Linked DNA regions of Drosophila melanogaster. The protein of the gene in region 1 interacts with the protein of each later gene in a pairwise test. Each region holds a gene or a part of one and is shown on either strand. Other genes may lie near its edges. The genes, in order: Pp1-87B, NiPp1 and Nop17l.

The links.
Region 2: the proteins of Pp1-87B (region 1) and NiPp1 interact in a two-hybrid assay, tested with the Drosophila melanogaster proteins (3 studies listed by BioGRID).
Region 3: the proteins of Pp1-87B (region 1) and Nop17l interact in binary tests that used the Drosophila melanogaster proteins (3 or more experiments, as listed by UniProt).

Annotation. Positions count from the first base shown.
Region 1 is NT_033777.3:12,424,088-12,427,842, reverse strand, and holds the start of Pp1-87B (protein phosphatase 1 at 87B), read left to right. Parts: upstream 1-1,925; 5' UTR 1,926-2,154; coding exon 2,155-3,063; 3' UTR 3,064-3,232; intron 3,233-3,326; 3' UTR 3,327-3,755. Other genes in the region: NANS (N-acetylneuraminic acid synthase), read right to left, coding at 7-789, 896-1,231. UniProt on the Drosophila melanogaster protein: Is essential for the regulation of mitotic chromosomal segregation as well as regulation of chromatin condensation during interphase.
Region 2 is NT_033778.4:17,003,407-17,007,161, forward strand, and holds NiPp1 (nuclear inhibitor of protein phosphatase 1), read right to left. Parts: upstream 1,744-3,755; 5' UTR 1,653-1,743; coding exon 1,624-1,652; intron 1,562-1,623; coding exon 1,347-1,561; intron 1,292-1,346; coding exon 1,077-1,291; intron 1,016-1,076; coding exon 445-1,015; intron 385-444; coding exon 263-384; 3' UTR 157-262; downstream 1-156. Other genes in the region: AsnRS-m (Asparaginyl-tRNA synthetase, mitochondrial), read left to right, coding at 1-132; CG6805 (uncharacterized protein), read left to right, coding at 2,355-3,101, 3,383-3,709.
Region 3 is NT_033778.4:7,804,631-7,808,385, reverse strand, and holds the start of Nop17l (Nop17 like), read left to right. Parts: upstream 1-2,000; 5' UTR 2,001-2,160; intron 2,161-2,819; exon of another isoform or gene 2,820-3,285; intron 3,286-3,447; 5' UTR 3,448-3,649; coding exon 3,650-3,755. Other genes in the region: sax (saxophone), read right to left, coding at 20-678, 742-817, 1,035-1,070, 1,185-1,314, 1,788-1,848. UniProt on the Drosophila melanogaster protein: Required for cytoplasmic pre-assembly of axonemal dyneins, thereby playing a central role in motility in cilia and flagella.

The DNA.
Region 1 (3,755 bases):
CATGATTCAATTGATTATACTATTCCCAAGTATGGGTTCATCCTCACCAATATTGTCTGCCAATTCCTTGCCTACCAAGTCCAAGAAATCCTCCGCTGTCAGGCCGCTGGGTTCACTGACTTTAATGGCCATATCTGCCAATTGCAACCTGTAACCCTTATTGAGATTCCTAGCTGCCACAATAGATTTGCCCAGTTTATTTCGGCAGGGCAGCTCGCACGGCAAAATGGTTTTAGACTCAACGTGCTGAAGAGCTGCCTCTAGTTCCTCATCTCCATTTAACTTTTTAACTATTTCTTGTGGAGGCATGGGAACTGAAGAGAGTTTGAAGTTGGTGATGGCTGTAGTCAGAGCTTTTAATTCTTGCGGCTCTAGGGAGCAGCGATGATCGGAGCCCTTCTGACTCTTGTCCAGCGTAAAGTGGCGCTCCACTATGCGTGCTCCCAGCAAGACGGCGGCCTGGCTAATGATCACTCCCAGCTCATGACCCGAGTACCCAATTGCCACATTGGGAAAGCGTGTCCTTAAGACGGATATCAACTGCAAGCTGCAATCTTTTGGGTCAGTTGGGTACGATGAAACGCAGTGCATTAGAGCGTAGTCCTCTTTTCCTGACTCCCGCATAGTTTGCACAATCCTCTCCACAGTTTGCATAGTCTGCATTCCGGTGGAGATCACCAGGGGCAAGTTCAAATTGGCGGCCTTTTTGAGAAGCGGAAAGTTGTTTGCGTCTCCGGAACCAATTTTGATGAAGGGAACATTTAGAGCAGAAAGGAACTCCAACGATCTCTGTTTAAAATAGCATATACACACATTAATAACTATTTAAGCAAGAAACAAGGGAAAAAAGGAATTGTTAGTAGTAGTAATTGGTTAACAATTAATTAATATCAACCTCATCCATGGCGGAAGCCGTAAAGTCCACATTTAACTCCTTGCAGTGGGCCTGCAGCTGGAGATACTGATCTTTGGAGAACTCCAGGTACTCCTTGTGCTCCCCGTACGTTTTTCCCCAGGCGTGATCACTGATATATTCGCGATCTAGAGCGGATCTCGTAAACTTTGCTGGCAAATCCGATTTTTGAAACTTGACGCAGTGGCAACCGGCTTTTTTGGCCTCCCATATCATTTTCTTCGCTGTTTCCACACAACCTTGGTGATTTTGGCCAATTTCCGCTATAATATAGACGGAATCAACTAATTTTCCGCTTATGATATCGTTTAACAGCATTTTGATTAAATTGAAACCCGCCTATTTAACAGTTAATTAAATGATTAGCGGGCGTAGGCAGGAAATGCATAGAGTATCGAATTATCGATAACAAGACATGAGCACATTTCATACAAAATTTTTACATAGTGTGATTGTTAATATATCTATCAATATATTATTTAGTTTTGTGAGAATTTAAGGGAAATTTGGCATTTTAAATCATAACTCATGTGGAAGTTATTCCAATAAGGAAAATGAATTAACCTATGTTCTGTAAACGAATATTCTTATTGGCTTATTTGAATTTCCAATGTATTTAAATATCCCCTTGTTACCGGTATATCGAATAGCCTCGCCAAATGCATCAGTCTCCCATCTCTTTTCCACAGTAAGTCATGCCAGGCGTGCCTGAGTGCAAGCGGGATGGCTAGTGTCCCCCTGATCAGGCTGCCACACCGCTGAAATAGAGTAACTGGACGCCATGCGTTTAATCGATTACTAACAGCAGTTTCGAGCCACTATAGGGTCGAGAAGACCCGTTTCGAATGAAAATATAAAAGTAGAGCTATTGCGGAACTCTTGCAATGGATTGGAAATGTCCTTAATGTAATAAGAGTAATATTACAGCAACTTCGTTATCGATTATGCACTATATTTGCATGTTATCGATTAGATAAGATGGCGTCTATTATCTGGCCATATCCGCGACTTCCGGCAGTGTGGCAACATCAGCTAGAAGCACACTCGCCATCCCGCCCGCACTCACGCAACAGCATACGAAGAAATTTTCATACTTGTTAGCTGTGAAAAGTATTTAGCAGAAATAGATTTCGGAAATTAAAGATTTCGAGGCTATTTCGGCGCTACCAACGATCGTTCGCGGTAACCTCGACACCCAACAGCAGCACTAGTGCACCAGATCCACACTTTCGCACGCAAACATGGGCGACGTGATGAATATCGACAGCATAATATCGCGACTTCTCGAGGTGCGTGGGGCACGGCCAGGTAAAAACGTACAGCTCTCGGAGGGCGAGATCCGGGGACTTTGCTTGAAGTCGCGCGAGATCTTCCTGTCGCAGCCCATTCTGCTCGAGCTAGAGGCACCGTTGAAGATCTGCGGCGACATCCATGGACAGTACTACGATCTGTTGCGTCTGTTCGAGTACGGCGGCTTTCCGCCGGAATCGAATTACCTGTTCCTCGGCGACTACGTCGATCGCGGCAAGCAATCGCTGGAGACGATCTGCCTGCTGCTCGCCTACAAGATCAAATACTCGGAGAATTTCTTCCTGCTGCGCGGCAACCACGAATGCGCCAGCATTAATCGCATATACGGATTCTACGACGAATGCAAGCGTCGCTACAGCATCAAGTTGTGGAAGACATTCACGGACTGCTTCAACTGCCTGCCAGTGGCGGCCATTGTCGACGAGAAGATCTTCTGCTGCCACGGTGGTCTCAGTCCCGATTTGACCTCCATGGAGCAGATCCGTCGCATTATGCGGCCAACCGATGTGCCCGACCAGGGACTGCTGTGCGATCTCCTGTGGTCCGATCCCGATAAGGATACCATGGGCTGGGGCGAAAACGACCGCGGCGTTAGCTTCACCTTCGGTGCCGAGGTGGTGGCCAAGTTTTTGCAGAAGCACGAGTTCGATCTCATCTGCCGAGCCCATCAAGTCGTCGAGGATGGGTACGAGTTCTTTGCCAAACGCATGCTGGTCACCCTGTTCTCGGCGCCCAACTACTGCGGCGAGTTCGACAATGCCGGCGCCATGATGTCCGTGGACGATACGCTGATGTGCTCGTTCCAAATCCTCAAGCCAGCCGACAAGCGTAAAAAGTAATATCACACAACTGCAGCACCACGAGCAGTCTTTTTCTATCTAAAACAGATCAATAAGAAATCCAAACAAGATACAAAAGATAAACACGACAAAAACAACCACAAACCCAACCACACAATCAACCAGAAATAAAATCCTTTGAAACAACACATCAAATGATGCATGAAACGTAAGTATGGGCTGCTGACGCAGAGTAACAAACTAGTGAATCACACTCTCACCCCAACCTTATCTCTGTTTTTGGTCACTTTTATCATCGGCAGCCGGGGCGAGTCGAAATCCACAAGAAATTGCACCATTAATTTGGTATGGAATAGCAGCGCCACGATCAAAGGACATCCCCAGAGACATCCCTTCCAGCAGATGACTGCAGTTTTCCCCTTCCACCCCACACCCATTGAGATTTAAATCGCAATTACAAACACATTGACAAATACCATGATTAAAAGCCACATATTTATTTGTAATAGCCCCCGTATATATATATATATATGTATATCTACCGACCGACCAACCATTCACCCACGCACACACATGTACACACATTTGAACACCAGCGCTTTTATAGGTTTTGTCCAAAATTTAAACACTAGGTTAATCAACTGACCGTTCGAGCAGAGCACCAAGCGCATAACCATGCAGATTAGATGGAAACGGAGCAGCAGAGGAGCGACTGGACGCCAGTCGGTCAC
Region 2 (3,755 bases), on another chromosome or scaffold:
CGAAAGTATGGAGGAGTTCCAACTGGAGGATTTGGAATGGGCTTTGAGCGTTACTTGCAGCTTGTCACGGGCGTTAAAAACATTCGTGATGTGATACCCTTCCCCAGGTATCCACACAGCTGCAAGATGTGATCAGATAAAGATATTAAATGTTTTGTTTTACGTTAAAAGTCTAATAAACAAATATTACTCCAGAGTGTGTTGTCAATCATATGCTTGAGAAAATCGTAGGTGGAATCTTAATTATTTTGTTAATACGCAATTACAGCTGCCCCAACATGGGCTTGCGACCTGGCCATGCTTCCTTGGCGTATTTCTTTTTCTGTGGGCACAGCGAATCGCCTTCGCCACTCGAGTCATGCGGATCCTCACCAAAGCGACGAACTAAAATGGTGTTATAAACAATCAGTAAGTTTTTAAACAAATAGTCGCGAGAACTATTACCGTTTGCATTAGCGACGGCCAACTTTTGAGCCAATGTCGAGGTCTCCACAGCTTCGTCATAGACTGGCAGCACTTCAGGCGCAGGATTCGGGAGCAATAGGCCCAACTTGGAACCAATGCTCAGCGGGGAGATGGGCTCTAGGTCACCCTTGCCATGCATTTCGGCCGGTAGACCTTGATATAGGGAATTAGTAGGCGAGTGGAGCACCGCATTGGGCGGAGGCATTTCCCTATGCTGCTGCTTCATGTCAACTAGGCTCTGCTGGAACATTTGGTGTACATGTGCGGCATTGGCACTGGACAAACTGCTGTTGCCCGAATGGATGCCCATATGATTGACGTCGCAGCGAGCCCTCTTGGCGGGCACCACAGTGGTTTGTACCAAGTTCCTGAAGCGTCCCACATTAGGATCCACATCCTCAGGATTGATGACAATCTCCTCATCGTTAAATGTGACATTTCGAGTGCGCCGTCCCTGTTTCAAGGCGTTTTGCTTTCGCATATTGGTATCATCATCGATGCCCAGCATTGAGATGCGCCGATTGTGGGCTGTGTTGTATTCTGTGAGATTCTGCAGGATAATGGAAGGTTAGTTTACATAGTATTTAGCTTTTCTTTTCAACCAAACGCACATCAAGCTCCGTTTGGCTTTCGGGTAGGCCCAGGAGAGCTCCATCGCTGGTTTCACTGAGCGGCAGGTCTTCCATGATGTTGCTGTGGTGGCCAGAGGGTCGTTCCCTGAGTATGTAGTTCCGGGTAGAAGCCCCAAAGTGGAAGGTGCTATTAATCTGCAGCTGTGTGGGCTTGTGCGCTTCCAATCTGAGTGTTCCAATAAAGGTGCCATGAGCTGTCAAAAGTAAATGGATAAGCTTACTCCGAATCCCAGATATCTTAGTACCTACTGGACCCCAGATCCACGAGGTAGGCTATGTTGAGGTGCTTGTGGTAGACAAACGCCGAGTGGACCCGCGAACAAGAGGCATGGTCTATGCAGAAGTCGTTCATTTGACTGTTGCGACCAAATAGATAGCATCTTTTTTCATCCACCATCAGTTTTTGTACTAGTTTGTCGTCCTTTAGCACATCCAGATGTAAGCCAGTGGGCGGTTTTCCAGCCCTAAAATAAATAAAATGCTACGTGATTTTGTGGCAAGGCAGCGGCTGAATTTGACAACGCACCAACTGGGTATGTCGTAGCTGTTAGCCATACTTTTAACTTAAGTAAAATAGTTCGGAAGGTAAGTTTATACAAAGTGTTTATTTTTATGAAAAATCCTTAGCCAGTGTGTACACACAATTGACTAGTTGCCGATAATATCGGTTTAGCACAAGCAAATGCAAAGGGGCATTCTCGCGTAAAAAAAAAAACAATGAAATAAGAGTATTATTATTTTAAAGGAACTTACGCACAGTACAACTTTTAATCTTATATCTTTATATTTCTTAAATTGATTTTTGGCTTTTATAATATCTAATGTGTTTCAAATAAAAATCTAAATTAGATGAGAAGCTCATGTTAGCCGATGTTTTCGATGAGCTTCAGAGCTCCGTTACTATCGAGATACCATAAAATTTTTGCCGCCGCCTAAGGTATATTTAAATAGTTGTGCTGCGGTCACACTAAGCTCACGCAACGGACGGACAAATAAACATAAATAACGACATCTGAGTATTCTATAAATAATACGGGCAACTAGCGCTTCCTAGTCCAATTAAAGCGGCTTAAAAAATTAGTGCTGAAGAATTAACGGTTACATAAATGAAAGTTGCGTGTGCAAAACGCCTTTCGCTTTATTTGCTGATGCTGCCAAATCCGTAAACCTGTTTTGGATGCCCATGAACTCATCAACAGCCACCTTGTGACGTCCAAAACAACAAGTATTAATCATAGATAATTAGACGGCGGAAAAATGGTTACGGCCACGGCGATTGCGGATCTGTGCATCTTCCTTTTGACCTGGAACGTGGGCACCCATACGCCGCGAAATCAGGATCTGAGCTCCCTTTTGTCCCTTAATGGCACCACCACTTGTCCGGATAACCAGCTGCCCGATATCTATGTAATCGGATTCCAGGAGGTGAGCACCACACCGCAGGTGCTAAAAATCTTCAATGACGATCCGTGGGTGCTGAAGATCGCGGACTCTCTGAGCGATCACCAGTTCGTAAAGGTGGACTCGAAGCAGCTGCAGGGAATTCTTATAACCATGTTCGCACAGCACAAGCACATCCCGCACATGAAAGAAATCGAGACAGAAGCCACGCGCACGGGACTTGGAGGGCTGTGGGGCAACAAGGGTGCCGTAAGCATTCGACTTTCGCTCTACGGAACTGGCGTCGCATTCGTCTGCTCCCATCTGGCGGCGCACGATGAGAAGCTGAAGGAGCGCATCGAAGACTATCACCAAATCGTGGACAATCACAAGTACAATGCGCAGGGATATCGCCGGATATTCGATCACGACTTTGTCTTTTGGTTTGGCGATCTTAACTTCCGTCTCTCCGGCGATATGTCCGCTTGGGATGTCCGCACGGATGTGGAGAACCAGCGATACGCTGATCTGCTCAAGCTCGACCAGTTGAATCTGCTCCGGGAGAAGGGAAACGCCTTCAGCTTGCTGGAGGAGCAGCAGCCCAACTTTGCGCCCACTTTTAAGGTAACAATCTAATATACAATCTTATTATCTCTACAGTCAAAGTTTGCCTTGAACTTTCTAATCTTAATCTAAATAATGTATATAGGGGTGGGTGTAATTAATTTTATCTGCACTTGAATTTTTAATTTCCGCCAATCACTTCATCAATCAATCACTTCATTCGGCTCCACAGATTTCATGAGAAAAGCAAAATCCAACTAATTTATGAGGCAATATGTCGAATGTAATTAATTCGCCTTATCTCTAGCACCCATATAAAGTTCATTTGATTTTCCTTGCAGTTCGTGGAAGGCACTAATGACTACAACTTGAAGCGGCGACCCGCCTGGTGCGATCGGATTTTGCATCGCGTGCAGAGCAACATTTATCCGGGCATTACCCTGAGTGCCAACCAGCTGTCTTATCAGTCCCACATGGACTACACTCTCTCCGACCACAAGCCCGTATCGGCGACATTCAACTACAAGGTCGAGGCTGCCAACCAGACCTACACCGACGAGGAGCTCCACGAAATGACGCACGGATCTGCCTCATCTCCGGCGACGCCAAATGTTAGTCTATCCTTCGCATTTGTTGTTTTTGTAGCTGTGTCCTATACTCAACTTTGATTTCGCTTCTTTTGTAGTTATTTATCGCTGAACTAGAGCAATGGTA
Region 3 (3,755 bases), on another chromosome or scaffold:
CAAATAATCTGTTGCTCACCTATATATCTCTGTCTCCCGCTTCCAGGACTCCTCGTCGCGACTGAAGAATATCTTCACGGCGATGCTTTCGCCATGCCAGTGACCGCGCCAAACCTCGCCGTATTTGCCTCGTCCAATGCACTCGATCAGGGTGACCTGTTTGGCTAGCGTACGCTGCACTAGCAGCGGCAATCCGCTGCCCGAGCCGGAGGTCACCGAGTGCTGCAGATACTCCCTCAGCGTACTGTCCCCGGCGCTGGTGGCGCGGAGCAGCTCATCATTGACCAGATACGCTTCCGGGTCCTGTTTGGTTCGCGAGGCAGCCAGACGCTTGCGATGGCTACGACGAATGAAGAAGATGGTCACGGCGCCCAGCAGAGCGATGACCAGAAAAGGACCCAGAACGGCGACGAGCATCTTGCTTATGCTACTGGTATCCGCGGTTATCACCGTCACATCATTGCTGTCGAAGGGCAGCAGTTCCGGAAAGTCTCCCTCATTGCAGTAATCACCGGCACAGCAGACCACATTCACGAACTTCCCCGTATTGCGTTTACTGGGCCCGTTGATCTTCAAGGAGTTCTGGCTGCAGATCATGGGCAGTTGATCCGGCGAGGTGCTGCAGCCGCGTGACTCCTGCACCTGACCATCGGCATCGCGTGTGCGCGACTTCCAGCACTGTTGAAGTTCGGAAATTAAGTTACATTTAAGTTTTAATCAAGTTTAAGGTGGAGTATTCACCTGAATCGCATTCTGGCAGGTGTGGGTAAACTCATAGGGATCCCGACAGGGCGGCTCGCAGGAGTAGCATTTGTATCTGATAAAAAAAAGAGAGAGTTTAATAAGATTGAAGAAGAATCGGTTACGCAAACGGGCAGCTTTTAATTGTTAACATTTGGGTATAAAAGTATAATATACTATAAAATATTTAAAAAAAATGGGGTTTTTTAAGTAAAATTATGAATATTTTCAAAATTTTAACTAAAAGTTAACCAGTTTATGATGTTTTAGTTCATGAGTCGTGTAGGTTTTACCTTCTCTTCATGCGGCGCTTACTCTTAATGTGTCTCCTAATTAAGGATTAGCAGCATGGCAATTAGGAGGGAAATGAGATTAGCAATACAAAGCCTTTGGGCGGAAGCGGGAGCTACAAGCTATGGGCTCAAGACTTAAGATATAATCACCTGGGATGCGTCTGCACCGAGTTCTGTGGCACGGCCGGTAGCTCCTTGCCATTGAGATGGGCGGATGAGGCGGAGGAGAGCTCCATGTCTAAGTCCGGTATGTCCTCCCGCAGATGATCGCTGATTTCGGCTGAAACATAACAAATGCACATTAAACCATATGCACATAGCATATACATATGTACACACATGGACGGCCCAACCAACACAAACGCCACCAGCACTAACACACACACACACATGCACACAGGCGCCCCAGCAAGTTCTGTATACACACACAGAACGGTGGTGTGCGTGGGTAAATCATTGAGAAAATGCACTTATGCTGCAAACGCCCACGACATCCGTTTATATAATACATTCTGTGGGATCCATCAGGTGCTTCTTTCACCAATCAGCATTCCGAGGGCACTTTTTTCGCCTTGGCCTGGCCAAATACGCAACGCAATTGGCCAGAACCGCAGCATATGAAAACAAACCCAAAACACTCAGTGACTTTTCAAGGCATTATATGTGGCTCTAAAACCCCATAAAATCGAAATTTCTCTTGCGCACTCTCTTCACCAAGCACTTGGTAATTGATTAACACTAATTGATGCCCACCTCTGGCATTATTGTACAGCAGAAACGTCAATAGAAAAACTAAATATATATTGGACTCCATTGCTAGAAATGTTATTTGTCCGAGCCTATCGGAACCTATCGATATACTTCTAGCGGGCAGTGTGACCAGGGCCCACATCTGCACATAACATATTTCACATAAAATACCGGGTCTTCAAATTTCCCAAATCCCCTGCGTAAAAATACCAAAGCACAACACGCACACCAACACGAGCAGCCGGTCAGCGGAAAAGTTTCTAGAACGTCAAACTCGAACTCCCATCAAAGAGTCTTTGGCAAAGGAGCCCATTTAACAGACAATTATTTTATTCAGTGCCGTTGTGTTCACAAAGCATAATTGTGTTCAATTTAGGTAAGTGGAGAAGCAGGAGATCTTCAGTGGAGGAGTTTTCGTGCCATTAAGTTGTTTTCCTGAGTGAAATTAACGGATTTACCTACCCGGTGTCATGGAATATAACAAAACATTTGCTTAGTTAGGGTTTTCATGTCCACTGCGACCGGTTTGTCCAGAAAATCAATGGGTTTCAGCTAGTATCGATCAAACGACAGAGTTTTCCCCCTCCCACAGCGCAAACATGTGTTTTTAGTCACGTAACTGTTATAATTTTCCTCGTTTTCCTTGCAATGGAGAAGATACACACGCCGTAGGGAATCATCTTACTGACCCCCCAATTACCACCCCCGCCCTCCTGCACATATATGTATGTACATAAGTTTGTAATATCAGTTGGCAGACGCAATACAAACATTATCTTTGTATATACATACATATGTGTGTAGAGATGTGGTCGTTTATTGTACAATTAGTTGGGTTGCGCCAGAAATCGCATAATGTGTGTGTGAGCGCAGGGGCTGCGGGGGCAGAATCCCGCTAAACAAAAACAATTGGGGCAAGTGGTTTTTTTCGCGCTTATCAAAAGCCCCTCACTGCGCAGAGGACGCTCTCTCTGTGGGCCGCTCGACTCGCAAAGAGCCTCCAATATTTGCCGGCGTTTCGGGCGTAGCGCTCCCATTCTCATAAAAACGCTCGTCGGGAAAGCATCGCACCAAAACTCGAAAAAAAAAACAGAAAACATTTACGCGTTCTCCTAGAATTTCACAAACTACGCAGTTCGTTTATTTATTTATTGGCCGACAAGTAAAAAAAAAACTCGTGGTCAGTTTGTAGTCATCTACACACATGTGTATCTACTTACATAATGCCCGTAAATCCGGCGGATAGCCGGTGATTTTCGACAGCGACCTTTCTGCGTCATTGATTTAATATTTATTTGCCTATCTGCTGATTAGAATTTGATTAAATGCCAGCTCGGTGTTTTTTTTTGGCTGCGAAATGGTCAGGACCTAGGGCAACCTTGGGACCTGGTACTTACTTGGCTTATCTCAGATTCGATTGGAAAGTTTCCAGAGTTTCGCCAGGTTCCGCAAGATTTAGTCATGCCCTCAAGGTTTATTTGCAAAACTATAAAATAGCCAGGTATACATAGAACTTACATATGTATAGCCGAAACAGAAAAACTAGTAATTTTTCCCAAACGACTTGTCTTGTTGTTATTGCAGTTATACATTCGTAATATAAGATAGCTGATTATCTTACAAGATTGTCCGTACTTACATCTATGTTTATTTGTACTTTCAGAACCTTCCAGAAATAGAAACCCAACGCATTTGCCAAGGAAACGTGGCCCAAAACTGAGCAACCCCTAACAAATAGAAACAAACAAAAAATCAAAACCCGTCGAAGTGATAAGAAAATTTGTATTTGTGTAGTAAAAGTGCCGAGGAGAGAAGAGGAGACCGAAGAGATCCCTCCGTGAGTGAAGTGTGCCTGCGAGAAAGCTATGTCCGCATCTAGATCGCGTAATAAACAATCCAAACTTTGTGACGATGAGCGGCTCGATATAAGCAGGGACGAGTTCAACCGATTCCAGGAGGCCTTTGGCAAGG